2 linked regions of the Nothobranchius furzeri genome follow. The protein of the gene in region 1 interacts with the protein of each later gene in a pairwise test. Links are inferred from orthologs where the notes say so. Each region holds a gene or a part of one and is shown in the gene's direction. Other genes may lie near its edges.

What was found.
Region 2: the proteins of rbbp8 (region 1) and lmo4b interact in binary tests that used the Homo sapiens proteins (3 or more experiments, as listed by UniProt). The link is inferred for Nothobranchius furzeri from reciprocal best matches to the Homo sapiens genes RBBP8 and LMO4.

What each region holds. Positions count from the first base shown.
Region 1 is NC_091747.1:41,222,474-41,229,228, reverse strand, and holds the end of rbbp8 (DNA endonuclease RBBP8), read left to right. Parts: coding exon 1-93; intron 94-819; coding exon 820-911; intron 912-1,078; coding exon 1,079-1,151; intron 1,152-2,025; coding exon 2,026-2,207; intron 2,208-2,315; coding exon 2,316-2,411; intron 2,412-2,592; coding exon 2,593-2,663; intron 2,664-2,747; coding exon 2,748-2,815; intron 2,816-2,898; coding exon 2,899-3,148; intron 3,149-3,221; coding exon 3,222-3,381; intron 3,382-3,468; coding exon 3,469-3,557; intron 3,558-3,638; coding exon 3,639-3,756; intron 3,757-3,851; coding exon 3,852-3,986; intron 3,987-4,071; coding exon 4,072-4,096; intron 4,097-4,163; coding exon 4,164-4,251; intron 4,252-4,325; coding exon 4,326-4,467; intron 4,468-4,535; coding exon 4,536-4,633; 3' UTR 4,634-4,746; downstream 4,747-6,755. Other genes in the region: UDP-N-acetylglucosamine transporter TMEM241 homolog, read right to left, coding at 5,402-5,465, 5,580-5,644, 5,723-5,816, 5,942-6,011, 6,081-6,115, 6,361-6,396, 6,654-6,699. UniProt on the Homo sapiens protein: Endonuclease that cooperates with the MRE11-RAD50-NBN (MRN) complex in DNA-end resection, the first step of double-strand break (DSB) repair through the homologous recombination (HR) pathway.
Region 2 is NC_091756.1:59,558,747-59,566,835, reverse strand, and holds the start of lmo4b (LIM domain transcription factor LMO4b), read left to right. Parts: upstream 1-4,017; 5' UTR 4,018-4,246; intron 4,247-5,362; 5' UTR 5,363-5,367; coding exon 5,368-5,603; intron 5,604-8,089. UniProt on the Homo sapiens protein: Transcription cofactor. Plays a role in establishing motor neuron identity, in concert with MNX1, acting, at least in part, to disrupt LDB1-LHX3 complexes thereby negatively modulating interneuron genes in motor neurons.

The sequences.
Region 1 (6,755 bases):
TGCACAGAAGCTGGAGGTGTTCTATAATCGCAACCAACAGCTTAAGGAGCAAAATAAAACTCTGCAGGACACGATCGGTCTTCTGGAGGAAAGGTAAATGACTCAAACACACACTTGGGTCATCATCATCATGTTGACAACATTAATTGTACTTGGGACTGGTATGGATTTGTCTCAAGTGAATCATTTACAAACCAAGCAAACTAGAAAAATAAGAATTTTCCAGAAATGTGTGGCAGAGGTATTGTAGAGATTACCAGCTTCAATCTGGCCTCTCTCCAGGATCTGTGGGTCTCCAGGGACTTGAGGCACACTAGAGATTCACCTTGACTCCTCATACCCTGAAAATAACCTTTTCATGTGCTGCCCTGTAATCACAGACAACAGTCCACCAGAACCATTACCTCATGGCACAAGATCAGTTTCTTCCCATCAGCTATTGGACTATGGGCTGCATGGCGGCGCAGTGGTTAGCACTGTTGCCTCGCAGCACGAAGGTCGCAGGTTCGAAACTCGGCTGCGGCCTTTCTGCGTGGAGTTGCGTGTTCTCCCCATGCATGCGTGGGTTTCCTCCGCGTACTCCAGTTTCCCCCACAGATCACAACATGCCCTGTAGGTTATAAATTGTAAGTCGCTTTGGATAAAAGCGTCTGCTAAATAAATAAACATAAACATATTTGAACATTCCCTAGAAAATCCCAGAACCTGCTGATTTGTAATCTTCTGTTATAGCGTCCAGTTATAATCATGCATCTTTGTGTACTTTATTATAAGTAACTGTGTGTGTATCATTAGTGTTTTGGCGTTTACTGTCCCCAGACTCCGAGCAGCAGAGCGTGATCAGTGTGCTGTTTTTGAGGAGAAGCTGAAATCCAACCAGGAGCAGAACCTTCATATTGTCACAAAACTAAGTGAGTTTGTTCCGGTGATTAATCTGAGCTCTAGATTATTTGGTGTTAAAGAGTAAAGAGTTGTTTTTATGTGAGTGTTTCACACAGACCAGGGCAGCACAAGCTAAGATGTTTTTGGGCACAATCATGCTTTGTGAGAATTGTGTTTACGGTTTGTCTTCCTTCAGAAAATGAGAGAAACAGACTGGAGGAAGAAAACAGAAAGCTGTTGAATGAACTGCAACAGTTAAAATCAGCTCAGTAAGTTCTTCTTAAAAGTCTGATTAGATTTTTGGGTTGTTGTTGTTTCAAAATTATTACAAATGTTAACATTTTAGTTTCTTTTTTTTTTTTTTGCAGCCAGTGTTGCGTAAAACTTTTCAGATAGACACTGTTTCTCCTGGAGAGGTTTCACTTCTGGTTTACAAAAATGAACTCTTCTAAATTTGAAAGCTGACTATAATAAGTGCCGTGTTCCACTGAGGAGCTTTGCCTCAGAGACTTGTTCTGCATCAGCAGTGACGTTTCAGTTCCTGGTTTAGCTCTGTAGAGGGTGTGGAGAGCAAACAAGTATATAAATAATTCAGTTTGTATTTTAGTTAACTCCAATTACAAAAATAATGTAATAAAAACATAACACTATTAAAATTGTTTTGTCACATTTTACTCAAAGGTCTTAAAAGGTTAGAGCAACATAAGATGGCAGAATGAGGGCAAAACACACCTGCAGCACATGAGTCTTCATAAGCCTCGCGTATGCCTCTCTGGTGAGAGGTTATGTTTTTCTACACGGTTCTATTCCAGGCTCGGCTGTTCCATTTTATATTCACATACTCCTTGTTTGGGCCTCCAGGCTTGTTTATACTAGTGCTGCCTGTTTTTTTATGTGGCTGATTGTTCAGGTAGATTAAGTTTAATTAGCTGGTGTGTCCGTGGGTTTTATTCTAGAGCAGACGTAAGGCTGTGGTGATGAGCATTAAAGCAGTTCAGAGGAAATGTTTTTTGTCTCATAATTTATCCCTTCATCAGTTTGAATGACCAGTAAGCTGCTGCACTTTAGTGTTTCCCAACTCAGTCGGTAACGATTTCAGATTCCACCAAAATAATTGTGATGATGATTATTTTCCTAATCAAGCAGCCCTACTTCAGAGGTAGGAAGCCCGGAGCAGGAGGAAGGATTCATCCCAGACTCACCAGTCCTGCCAAGCTCACTTCCTGTCCCAAACAAGCTGAAGAAACGGAAACATGGTGATAAAGTGAAACACTTCCGATATGCAGAGATGTCTCCGCGGCAGCGCGACAACTTGCTCTTCTACGGTCAGTTATTTAAAAACACCTTTTATCACCTGCTGCTTATTTTAAACCTCACCTCACCTTCCTCTGTGTATTTCCGCTGTTGTGAACGGTTTGGTTTTTATTTTTAAGAGCAAAACAAAAAAGCTGCTAGAGATGGAAGGAATCCCAGGAAAACAGAAGTGCTGGTGCCCAACACTTGTGAACTGGATGCACCCCAGACATCCAGTAAGATGTCTTTTCTAATACAAGTTAATCAAAACAAGAATAATCTTTTTTTTTTTTTTACATTTAATATAACTTTATTTATATTCCTTTAGATCAGAAACAATCTATTTATGTCCACTTCTCCTGGTTTAGTTCTATTATCAGACAGAAGTTGACCTGTCTGGTGTCTGTCTCTTTCCAGATGATGTGAATGAAGGTGTGCTGGAAGCTATCCCAGATACCTGTGGCTTTGAACTTGCTAACAATCTCATTGTAAGTAAAATAGTTTAGGAACCAATCACTGATACATAATCGTACAATAATGACATTTTTATGTTTAAAACATTTTGCTCCCAGGTAAAGGAGACGGCTCCAGATCATCAACGTGCCTCTAGAAGTTCCTGGAAGCACAATGCTCATTTAAAGTAAGACCAACTGCAGCCGGCCTGCATTTATCTGACTATGCGCTAAAAAACTCCTCCCTGCTGGTTTGTTTCTCCTGTTTAAGGCCCTACGAGCGCTCCTCTGTGTCCACACTGACCCACAGTCCAGACTCCACCACGGAGAGGTCCCTGTCTGTCCTCCCTCCTGTCAAACGCTTTTTAGAAGAAGGCTCGGTCTGCAGCTCAAAACACAAAAAGGACGAAAGTGTTTCACAGAGACTCTGCGAAGCAGGAATCCAGGGAGGGGGCAAACATGAGCATCCCAGAGACGTCAACCAAACAGCGACTTCTGTTTGTGAGCCACCAGTTAATAAGGCATGACCAAACAGGGAGCTCATCTGTTAAGCCATGATTTAAAGCAGGTTTTTATAAGTGTTTTATTTTCCAGGGCCAGTCAGCAGAACACATTGGGACCAGTCAGAAAGCTAGAGCTCCTGGTTTCAGTTCTGATTTCAAGAAGCCGCCGAGTAAATCTAAGTCAGAAACCGATGGGAAGAAAAAAACGCCTCTGCAGGATCAGGATGCTTCACACAAACAACCAAAAGATGGTGAAATCCTATCATTTACGGTCCTTATCTCATCCTGTTGGATTTCAAACTCTTCACTCCTTAAACTCGACTTGTCTGGGTTCTCAGTCGACGAGCAGCTCACAGTGGAGCCGGCGTGGAGCATCGATCCTGCACTGGCTCTGTCCGTGTACAACAGCGAGCAGAGGAGAGACGAGGTGCAGCCTCTGGGTCGTTTGGCTTTTTTTATGTGTAGATGTTTGGGTTGTTTTATTGGCTTAAAAGCTTTTGTGTTTTAGGAAATAGAAGAACAGCGGCATCACAGAGACCTGGCAGACACGGACTGCACTTGGGTCAGCCACAGCATGCTGCAGCGGCGAGGAGGAGACGGTCCGAGCAGAGGAGACACGAAGTCTGGTGAAAATAACCGTCAAGTCTTTAAATAACCACAGTCAGGTGTTGGATTATAATCCGTTAACACAAGATGGTGGTCTGGTCTGTTCGCTTCTCAGGACTCGGCCAGAAGGCAAACGACAGTTTGGATATGATGTTTGACACAACAGCTTATGGGGAGTATAAGTCCCAGTTAGACCGGAGCAGGCCTGATGAAGAGGATGAAGGGCAAGATGAAGAGGAGGAACCGCATGGTAGAGATTGATTTTGAACACCTACATTATTTCACTGATATTCTGAGTTTGACCTTCATCTCCTGATTGGTTTCCTTTCATTTAGACGAAGATCCTCGATCCAGATCTGGGTAAGGACCATCACTCTGCACCTCGTTTATCCGATCGTCACCCGTCTCACGGTTTTCTCTGCTTTAGACGGCCAACATTTAAACACGTGGCAGTAATCCGCAAGAAGGACGAGAGAAGAAAACTGAAGGGCACCACCTGTAAAGAATGTGACGTTGTGAGTGTGTAGAGCCTGAAGCCGGTGCGTGTTTATTCCTGGGTGCTGTTGACACGGTTGTGGCTTCCTTTTAGTACTACGCTCATCTGCCAGAGGAGGAGAAACAGAAAAAGCTGTCTGCCTGCTCCAGACACCGATATCTGCACATTCCTCCGTGTACTCCTGAAAACTTCTGGGAAGTGGGATTTCCATCGACACAGACGTGTGTGGAGCGAGGTAATGGAACGCTTCTTGTTTCGTCTAATGGTGGTTTTACTAGAGCTTTATAATATTCTGTGTTACAGGTTACATCAAGGAAGAGACGAACCCCCAGGCTCGTTCACGGAGACGACAACCGTTTAATGTTTTATTCTCTCCAAAGCAACGGCAGCAGCAGACCTGAAACATCCCTCACCGATTAGTTCTAATTATTCCCTTAAATCTCTATAAAACCCTGAACTCTTGCAGAGTTCAAACATTGACACTGTCTAATAAAAATAACTTATAAAAACCTGATGCTGACCAAGAACCTGTCTTCATCATCTCCTAGGTTTTATATACAGGGTATCCGCGGGTCCTTAAAAAGTCTTAAACTTGCTTTTCCAAATTTAAGGCCTTAAAAATCCTTAAAAATGACAAATAATCCTTAAATAGTTTCCGAAGGTCTAAAATTACCCAAGACCCAATAAACAAGATTCTTTTATTTCTATAAAAATTTCGTGAATTTCTAGTTAGTGTTCAGCATTTTTGTGCACGATGTTGGCGTAAGCGGAACCGTACACATTCAGTTGGCTGGGAAAGGGGGCTCTTTTTAGATGAGCACATTAGCTGATTAAGCTAGCGGGAACTTGCGCCATGGGGAATTGCAAGTTTAATGGTAGCTGGATGGCTAATCCCACGTTCGTGACGTGGTTGGCACCGGTTCCAGGCAATAGCTGGAAATTATAGCTTAAATGTAATTTTAAAAAATTGCTTAAATTTGGTCAAAGTGGCCTTAAAAAGTCTTAAATTTGGCTCCCTTAAACCGGCAGATACCCTGTATATAAAAATAAATCAGTGTTCACACGGTTTTATTTAATCATCAGATTTATCAAAAGATAGGAAATTAGAGAAAAAAAGGTAGAAAAATATCTTGTTTACATAAAAGTTTAGAACATGTTGAGATTTGTTATCAAAGTTGAGGATCTCTGTCAGAATAAATCAGCAGGGCCTCTCCGAGGTGACTGATGATCACGCTGGGGAAAACGGAGCAAACGTTAAAGATTAGTAAGCAGCAGCCTGATGTCCGAGAATCAAAATAAAAATTTAATTTTCACTCAATAGATCTCATAATCAGGTCAAGCACTCACCATAAAAGAGTTTTGGTGTTGATATTCGTGTTGAACATAAAAGGTGAGAGCGCCATGGCGGAAACCTGAGAGAAAGCAGAAGTAACCATCACTCATGTTCCCTCAGAGCAAAAGTCCTGACAGGTGTTTTTATTTATTTATACCTTCGACAGAAAGCCCCAGACTCTGACGTGTTCCAGGGACAGTCCATGTTTTAGTCTGACTGTGACCAACAGCAGCAAAAAACCCAAAACAGCACTGTGGAGAAAGAAGCTCTACTTTTAAAACCTGAATATATTTACAAAAGAGTTTCCTTGTCTATCAAAACCAAATAACAGCAGCGGGTTCTTTATAATCGGTAGAGAAAGCTGATGACGTCTCACCTGATGCAGCAGCCGCTTTGGAAAGTGAAGGAGTTAAGAGAAGTAAACTCCCAGGCACCTGTGAGGTCACCTGTAGAGCAGAAATATTGAGCTGAATCGCATCTTTTAAAGCTGAAACATGAGCTCAGGTGAGTCGTACCTGTGGGGTGAGCAGCGAGACCCAGCAGCAGCACACTGTCATTAAAAACCAACAACTGCGGTCATTCAGTTAGAATTTAAACTCAATTCATGAACAAACAATACTTTATAATCATTAAAGTATTCGGGTTTATTACGATTTACTCTAAAATGATGTTTATACAAGATAAAAAGCAGAAGTAGAAGAAAAATCTTTCCTCACAAACGATTCTGCACCTGAAACTTCATTAAATCTATTTATGGCCAACGTTTCTCATTTAAGAGACCTTGTGGATTCTTACCTGAGCAGGTAGTTAATGCACTGCTGTTCAATATCACTGAAAGTAAATCACACATAAATATTTCAGCGTGTGGGGGTGTCGTACTGTACAATCCCACCGCATAGAGCTGAGTAATCCTAAAATAAAACAAGCAATAGCCTCGTAGCCATCTGAAGATTTACTTTGTGATTCAGGTCAATGGAACAAAGAGGTTTTTCATGATTTTTGTAAAAAAACAAAAAAAAAAAACAGTTTTCATTTTAATAGTTTGTTTGATCTGTAGTAACACAAAAGTGAGACTTAGAATGACTAACCTCAGATTACTGGCCTTGTGCTGAACGTGAAACACCCTGTATGCACCTGAGCACATAGCAGATCATTCATCAGCAGGCCCTTGAAACCAGCCTCTAACAGCA
Region 2 (8,089 bases), on another chromosome or scaffold:
CCTGGAACAAACAAAGCATTTCCCGTGAGGCCTCTTTTCAAATTTATTTAATAATTTCCAGTTGTGTAAATCATTGAAATCAATTAATTATTTTTTGGCGAAAAATATATTCTTTTCAATCGTTTGTGCTTTTTTTGTTCTAGTGAGAGAGAAGCTTGATGAGAGTGTCAAGAGATTGTGGCTCAAACCAAGGTGGAGTAGCGCTGGCTTTGCCAAAGGGAAATCAGCTTGATGCAGCACAATCTCCTCTGAGCTGCAGGAATAATTAAACAATTAAAGTCAAGAAAAAAAGATTTTCTTTACTCACGAAACCAGGGAGGGCTTATCAAAGTGTTGTTTTGTTATGTAAAACCACTAAACCTGGTGAATCCCTAACAACTTTTCTTTGTAACAACATTTTTTTTCCAATGGCAACAATTTTGTTCTAACTCTAAAAGCAATTTGCTGACTTTGACTGAAAGCTAAATGATAAAGTGCATTCCAACATAGTTTTACCAAATTATTCATTTTTATTAAATGCATCTTTTTCAGTGCTGTTTAAAGATATTTGCCTCCTCACATAAGTATTCAATTGTTGCTTTCTTTGGCCACAGTTCAGATCTGCAAACTAATTTCAACACCAGTCTGTCTACATGAAGTTGGTTAAATATTCTCAAAAGCTGCTATTTATGCCTTGCTCTGAGGAAGTTCAACAACAAAAACTCCCAAATGACATCTAAAATATTGAAGGCCTCTCTTCAAGCAACAATCCAAAATGTTGTTGAAAATTAATTAAATGATATCAAACTGTAGAAAAATATTGGCAGCTAACATATAACCATAAAAATCAGGTCTAAAATACAGGGGAGCAGAATAACTCTATCCATATTAGATGCCAAGTTTGCTTCTATGGGAGCCCGTGAGGACAAAAGACATTTACTGATTTGTAACAAACAATTACAAACCTTTTTCCATTCATAAACGTTGTTGTTGTTTTACACATGTACCTCTTCACTCGTCGCCAGTGATGAAAGGGAGTCTGATGTGCTTGTTACGTTGCTGGAGGTTGAACTCCCAGGGATTTTTGATCCTAATGGCTATCCGTTGGTAAGATCTTACTCAAACGCAAAAATACCTCTTGCTTGCTATGATTTAGGTATGTACTGCCCCTATCAAAGCAAAGTACACGCCGATACTTTACATTTAGTCAAGGTCAGAGGTTGTAATTCGACATAATAAAAGAGATAGGGCATCATTGGACAACCATAACTTGTACAATGTTTGCCAAAAAACCCCATCATGATGATCCCAAGACTTCTGAGTAAATATCCTGTGGTCTGAAGCTTGGTTTATGCTTGACGCGTTCACTTTCCACGCGGTGATGCGGCTCGCGGATGGAACGCGCTTCATAACTCGCAGTGTTTATGGTTCATGCGGCTCGTCTCTGCGGTGAACCAATATTCTCCCAAACTGTAGGGGGCAGCATGGAGCTCTACGGCAAACATCCAACACTACACCATAGTAGAAGTAGAAATTACTGTTTACAACACGGCATTTCAGCATTTTTAACAGCGTCCTCGTCTTTTCCGACAGTGCGAGCTATTTCTCTCCAAGAATTATTAACAACATGTTGATCACGGTGATCTCTGAGAGCTGAATCATACAAATGTCTGTATTTATGAACCTCTGCCATACTAGTTCTTGCCGGTCCGCCATGTTTTTCCGCGTCCGTCCGTCCGCGTGGTTAGAAATTTTCTGAGGTGCGCGTTGTGGAAATTCTGGGCCGTGCGGAGGCGCGGTGGAGGGGCGTGGTTGTTAAAATGATGCAACTTTTCCGCGCGGAGACGTGCGGACCTCGCGGACGCGTCAAGCATAAACCAACCTTTACCAGAAAAATCCAGCACTGTGTTTGAGTCAAACTGTGGCAGCAGTGTCTTGAGTGAGGTAGACAAGGTCATCCAGTTTTTGGAGGGGTTGCTGGTCCAGTCCCAGGACATTCCTAGTCATTCTACCATTGTTTCCTTGGGAAAGGCACTTCATCCAACTTGCTGACTCATTTTTGTGTAAGTCACTTGAAAGTGTCCACCAAATGCATAAACACTTACAAACATGGTGGTGGTGTTTATGTTTATGTATTTAGCAGACGCTTTTGTCCAAAGCGACTTACAAGTGATAATCGGCATGTTGCCCTTGAGGCAAACAACAACAATAACAACAACAACTTGACATCAGTCATGGAGAGGAGGGAACAAGGAGTGGACAGTAGAGAGCGGGGACGGGTGCAGGGAGGGTGCTAGTTTAGAAGACGCTCTCTAAAGAGAAGGGTCTTCAGGAGTTTCTTGAAAATTGAAAAGAAAGCCGCTGTTCTGGTAGTGCTTGGTAGGTCATTCCATGTTTGTGGAATGATGCATGGGAAGAGCCTGGATTGTCCTGACCGTGGTGTAGGCACTGCTGGCCGACAATCTTGTGATGACCGGAGCGGCCGGGCTGGGACGTAAGCCTTTGCAAGAGGATTCAGGTAGATGGGAGCCGTACCATGAAAACTGTGAGATAAAGTCAACATAAAAGAGGGCCAGATTCAAACATGTTCAGGAAACGCCAAGTGGAGGAGGTGGGTTTTTAGGCGACTCTTGAAGACTGGCAGAGATGGGGACAGCCTAACTGAGGGTGGCAACTGGTTCCATAGTGACGGTGCTAGGACTGAGAAAGCCCGGTCCCCGCGAGTACGACACCTAGAACGAGGGACAGCGAGCAGGCCTTGGTCAGAGGAGCGCAGAGCGCGTGATGGGGAATGTCTGTTCAGGAGCGTGGCCAGATAGGGGGGAGCACCACCCTGGAAGAAATTAAAAACAAAGACGAGGAGTCTGAAGTGTGAACGATAGCAAACCGGAAGCCAGTGCAGGGAGGCCAGAACCGGAATGATGTGGTCCCGTTTCCTGGTCCCAGTCAGGAACCTGGCTGCGCTGTTCTGCACAACCTGAAGGCGACACAGTGATGACTGACACAACCCTGCATAGAGAGAGCTGCAGTAATCATTGCCTCAAGAGTGCTGCAACCAGCCTGAAGGAGACGGGTTCAATCAGGGTCAGGTCAGTTAGCTCATCACCCCTTAATCTTTGAAAATATCATTTGAAAACTGGCGTTTACTGGGGTTATCTTTTATATGAAAAACATAAGCAACATTTTTCCACAGCACTGTATTATGCCAGAGAGGGCGAGATGAGCAAATATTGCAATAATTACAGCACTTCAGCCAAAAGAGACTCAGTAGGAGCTGAAACCAATGACCTTAACGTTGTAAAAGGAGCTGCTATTATCTTCAGTGACAGATGATGGCGCCACTACGCAGCTGTAGAGGTTGGAGTCACCCTCAACTAAGTAGTTATTGAATGCCAACTAATTAAACTCTGACGTGAGGTGAATGCAGCCTGCTGGATGTTGCCATGCAGCATGGAGCACGTTTGGAAACGATCGAACACCATGACGACTTGTGTATAACTTTGCATCTAGTCCATAGGTTACCTCAGCACTCGCGTTTCCCCATTTACCATTTAGGTTTACGTAAACTCATATTTATAATGCAGTTATTAAATACACCATCGCCTCTAATCCCAGAAACGTGGTTCTGGATATCTCGGATTTAAGTGTCAATGAGCTGCTTTTATCCCCGTTTTTCCTCTTGTCCCTCTCACCTCCGTTGTCTGCGTGTCCAAGTCTATCTCCCTTCCCTCCGATTGGCTGGAACTGTTATTCTCCCAAATTGACTGCATTCTGATTGGCTGCCAGGGCTCTGTCGTCACGCAGCAGGAGAGAGTTTTTACTGGAGGTTTCTTTCTGTCAGCGACACATGTAGAACCAGCTGCCAACGGGACGCGGACGCACGCAGAGATTCAGACCAGAGCAGAAAGAGACCTCTTCAGCCTCGACGTCTCCTGAACGCTTTATCTTTTTGTTTCAGCCAAAACACGCACGTGCTCTTCACGTCTTTGGGGGAACATTACGGCATGCGTGTCACCTCGCCATGAATCCCGTCGTCTTTAAAGTGGTGCCAGTAAAAGGGAAGCCTACCCGTGGAAATACTATCTGATAACTCCATTTGCTCGCCTCGCCGGGTCCTCGAGGTGCTCTCGCGCAGAGCTGGAGTCTGGAGCGCGCGCGCGCTGGTTGGTGCGTCCGCTTTGAAGCCGTTTTACTTTTCTGGCTCTGTTGAACCCTCCCTACCTGTTCATCGTCAAACTTCGGTGGCATCGTCGACCAGGGGAACGAGGTGAGTGTTTGTTGGCGTTACAGCCTAATTAAACAGGAAACTAATCGGTTTATGTTGCGTTCTTTCGCAGCGCGTGCGTTCACATCCAGTATTCACTTCATTAGCACATTTCCACGCATTTATCCCAAAAATAATAACGCCAAGAAAGTGTTTTCCCCTGCTTTCAGTGCACGAATGGGTGTTTTTCTTTTCTTTGCCCCGCTCACTCATCTCTCCCTCTTTCTCTCGCTGTCTCTCTCCCTTCTTTTTCCATGACTTGCCCAAATTGCCTGTTCGTGTAATTACTTGAGTTGGCCCATTTAGTTTAAAAGCCACCCCCCCTCTCATTCCTCCTCCCCCTCTCATCCTTCCCCAGCGAATAAAACAGAAACTCCCCCCCTCCTCACCCCTAGAGAAACTTGACGATAGCCCGCTCTGTTTATCCAGAGAGTCACTTTCACGTCGGCTTTTTTGATTCATCTCCTTTTAGATTTAATCAGCACTAAAGTACGCTGTGGTTTGTCCCTAAGAGCCATCGCTAATGGGCTTACTGAATGCCCCCCCCCCCCCCCCCATCCCTCTTCCCAACTCTAATTGGCCTACCTGGCTTTCAACAAAGATTTGGCTTCATCCCTGCAAGTCCGTCTGACCAAATTGGTGGGGATTACATCTGAATGACTTGAAATTAATTTAGTGGCTGAAACAGAATGCATAAGATTAGTAGATTGACGTCATTACAGGAGGTCTGTGGGCATCAGTTTGTAGTCTGACATGTTTTATGCCTTGGAAGTTGTCAAGTGTTGAGAACCAAACTGCAATTCCTATCTCACTACAGCCATTCATGCTGGGATTGAGACGATAAATATATGCTGAAGTCTTAATTATGGGTGTTATCAGTTGAACAGACACTGGGAAGCCCATTAATGCAACAGAACAGGACAGTAACGGACATCTAGACCAGTTTCACTCAATAATTAGTCACAAAACTAGGTATTAGTTGGTATAATTCAAAATCCGTAGCTGTGAATACATGTTGATAGTTTTTGTCTGAAATCAAAACAATCCTCCACTAGTAAATGCACGAGCACCGGCCATGTGGGTGAGTCAGGCTTGACCGTGTCTTTTCTGTGTTTTTAGAGACAATGGTGAATCCTGGAGGCAACAGCCAGCCACCAGCGGTGGGCACAGGCTCCCTGTCTTGGAAACGGTGTGCGGGTTGCGGGGGCAAAATTGCAGATCGCTTCCTCCTCTACACCATGGACAGCTACTGGCACAGCCGATGCCTCAAGTGTTCCTGCTGCCAGGCCCAGCTGGGCGACATTGGTACTTCGTGCTACACAAAAAGTGGCATGATCCTGTGCAGAAATGACTACATCAGGTGAGAGGATCGCTGAAAGCCATGTGTTTATGTAGAAGTAGCACGGGCGTAATGTTATGTTTTGATTCATTTTTCATTTAGTTATTATATTTTTATGTAACCAAAACATCCCGACTATTTTACAATATAAAAACAGCCCTGAAAGAAAAATATCTGAATGTAAAATTTATGTCAAAGAACATTCTGAACAGAATTTTGTGGGATTTTGCTGCGCCCTATCCACAGCATTACGATCTCTGAGTGTTCGTAAAGCATTAATATGATCAAATCCTTCATGATCTGGTGTCGTCCTATCAGCTGCTCCAACGCTAACGTGATTAGTGGCATTCTGCTTCAGATCTCTAGGTTAGATTTGGGCTAATTAATCAACACTCGTGTGCATAAGTAGCCTACTAACGAACAGGAAACCGTAGATGGTTTTGGAAGTCTCCCAAGTTCTCCTAGATGTTGTTGAATCAAAGTTTAAGCTACGCAGCTATGTTCTTTTTTGTCAGATGGTGAAAGAAGGATGAAAAAAAGTTATTTCTATTTAAAAAACAACTATTGTATTTCTGCATTGGCTGGAGGAAAACCATGCTGCTTGACCTTTACTCCAGGTGCCACAAAGCGTCATGCATGGTGAGATGTTGTCAAAGCAGAAAGTTTTTCAGCAGATTACCGATTACACAAGAATGAAAGACGAGGTTTAGAATTTGCTCAGCACTTTTAGCGATGACGTTTTGATCTTTCTTCACTTTAAAGAAGCTTGAAGAGGCAATCGGAGTCATAAAGTTTCGGAGTGTGCCGAACAACAAAACACTGTTTTAGAGAAGATGCTTCCGTTTACTGCATCGATTCTAGTTTTAAAGGCTGATGTTGAGTTTAGATACGTTTACAGCCGTTCTCAGATGACTACAGCAACAATATACCAGTAAAAATAATAATCTGATTAACGTGAGAAATCATGACTCTGAAAGTAAACGCTGCTCAGGGAAAATGTCGGATTTTTCTTGGCGGTGATGGAAACCATCTGTTTTTTTTGATTTTCAGATCTGTGAGTCGTACTGAATCATGGACGTAATTTTCACTTTAGAAGTGGGGGGGGGGGGGGGGGTATCTTTACAATATGTTCTAATGGGAAACCGGCTTCAACACAAACGGTTGCTTTCCGCTTGGTCCTAGAGCTCAACCAGTGTCAATTTAATATAGCGTAATATTGTTTTTGGATGGTAAAAAGTGCAGGGGTCAAAACTTGACTTTGGAAAAAGTGGGGGGGACATGTCCCCCCTGTCCCCCCCCCAAAATTATGTCCATGTACTGAATTATAGCCACTTCTGAAAGCTGGGTGGTTTTGTTGTACATCTCTAACTGAAACAACCTTTATATTTTAAGCTCTTTATTTACTAGACTAAACATTGAATTGTCCATTAAAGTTTCTAAGTTGAAGTTAAATCTTCATTGATGGTTCAGATGGTGGACCCACTCTTCTGAAACTACTGTCAAATCTGCACAGATGGTTTAAAATCAAAAGTGTGTCTGCACTCGTACCTCATAAAAAGCAGGGGGAAGTCAATGGGGTACTTCATTCATAATGGCACTATAACGTAATTAAAATTGAAATGGGGTGGGGTGGAAAGGGGGGGGGTGGGATACACCTTTCCACTTGTAATGAGAGCATGCCTGTTGGAGGAGCTAAAACACATTATGGAACCGTGCGATCTCTGTGGAGATAAAATCAGAAGTAAGGGGAGAGAAAAGAAAAACACCTGACAGTGAGTCTACACAATTAAATGCTTTAATTATAGCCCCCCTCCTTTTCCTTTAGTCCTGATGGGTTTTATCTAATGAGATCTGGTCCCTGGCTTGTATCCGCTACCAGTGACGTGTCCGAAATGAATAAGCGCCACACTGCAAACAAAACATTTAATTAACCAAATTGGCTTTTGAGAGAGCAGGAGAGAAAGACCGATATAGACGAGGGATTATTGTGAAGGCCATTTGCCGCTGTTTTTTTTTCTCTTTTCCTCCTTGATCTTAAAGGGCCAGATTCCCCATCAACAGGCAGTAGTGGAACTGTTTTGAGCTGCAGCTCTGGTTTTATATTAATGCTGTTAACGTGAAAATGCTCATCTGCTTGATCGGGGATTGCAGCCGGGCCTGGAATAACGCACTCCTCCCAGAGCCGAGCTGTCAGAAGCTTTAACTTCAAACCCAAGTTGAGCTCGCCGCAGCTGGGGCTTGTGTTGTTTTAAGCCAGAGGTGATATTATTTTCGTGGGCTGCTGGTGAAAGGAGAATTAATTTACTCATGGCTGCCGGATGCAGAGAGAATGCCATCCCCTTAATTGAATAAGCCAAGGTAATTAAATAGCACTTTTCCAATAAAACGTGCGAGGTAAATCTAATAGTTGGTTATTTAATATCACTTTGAAGTCTGCCCACTCGAGCACTGTGACAGCACCAGAGAACGTGAACTATTAGGCCAGAAAAAAAAAGGATCTCAGAAAT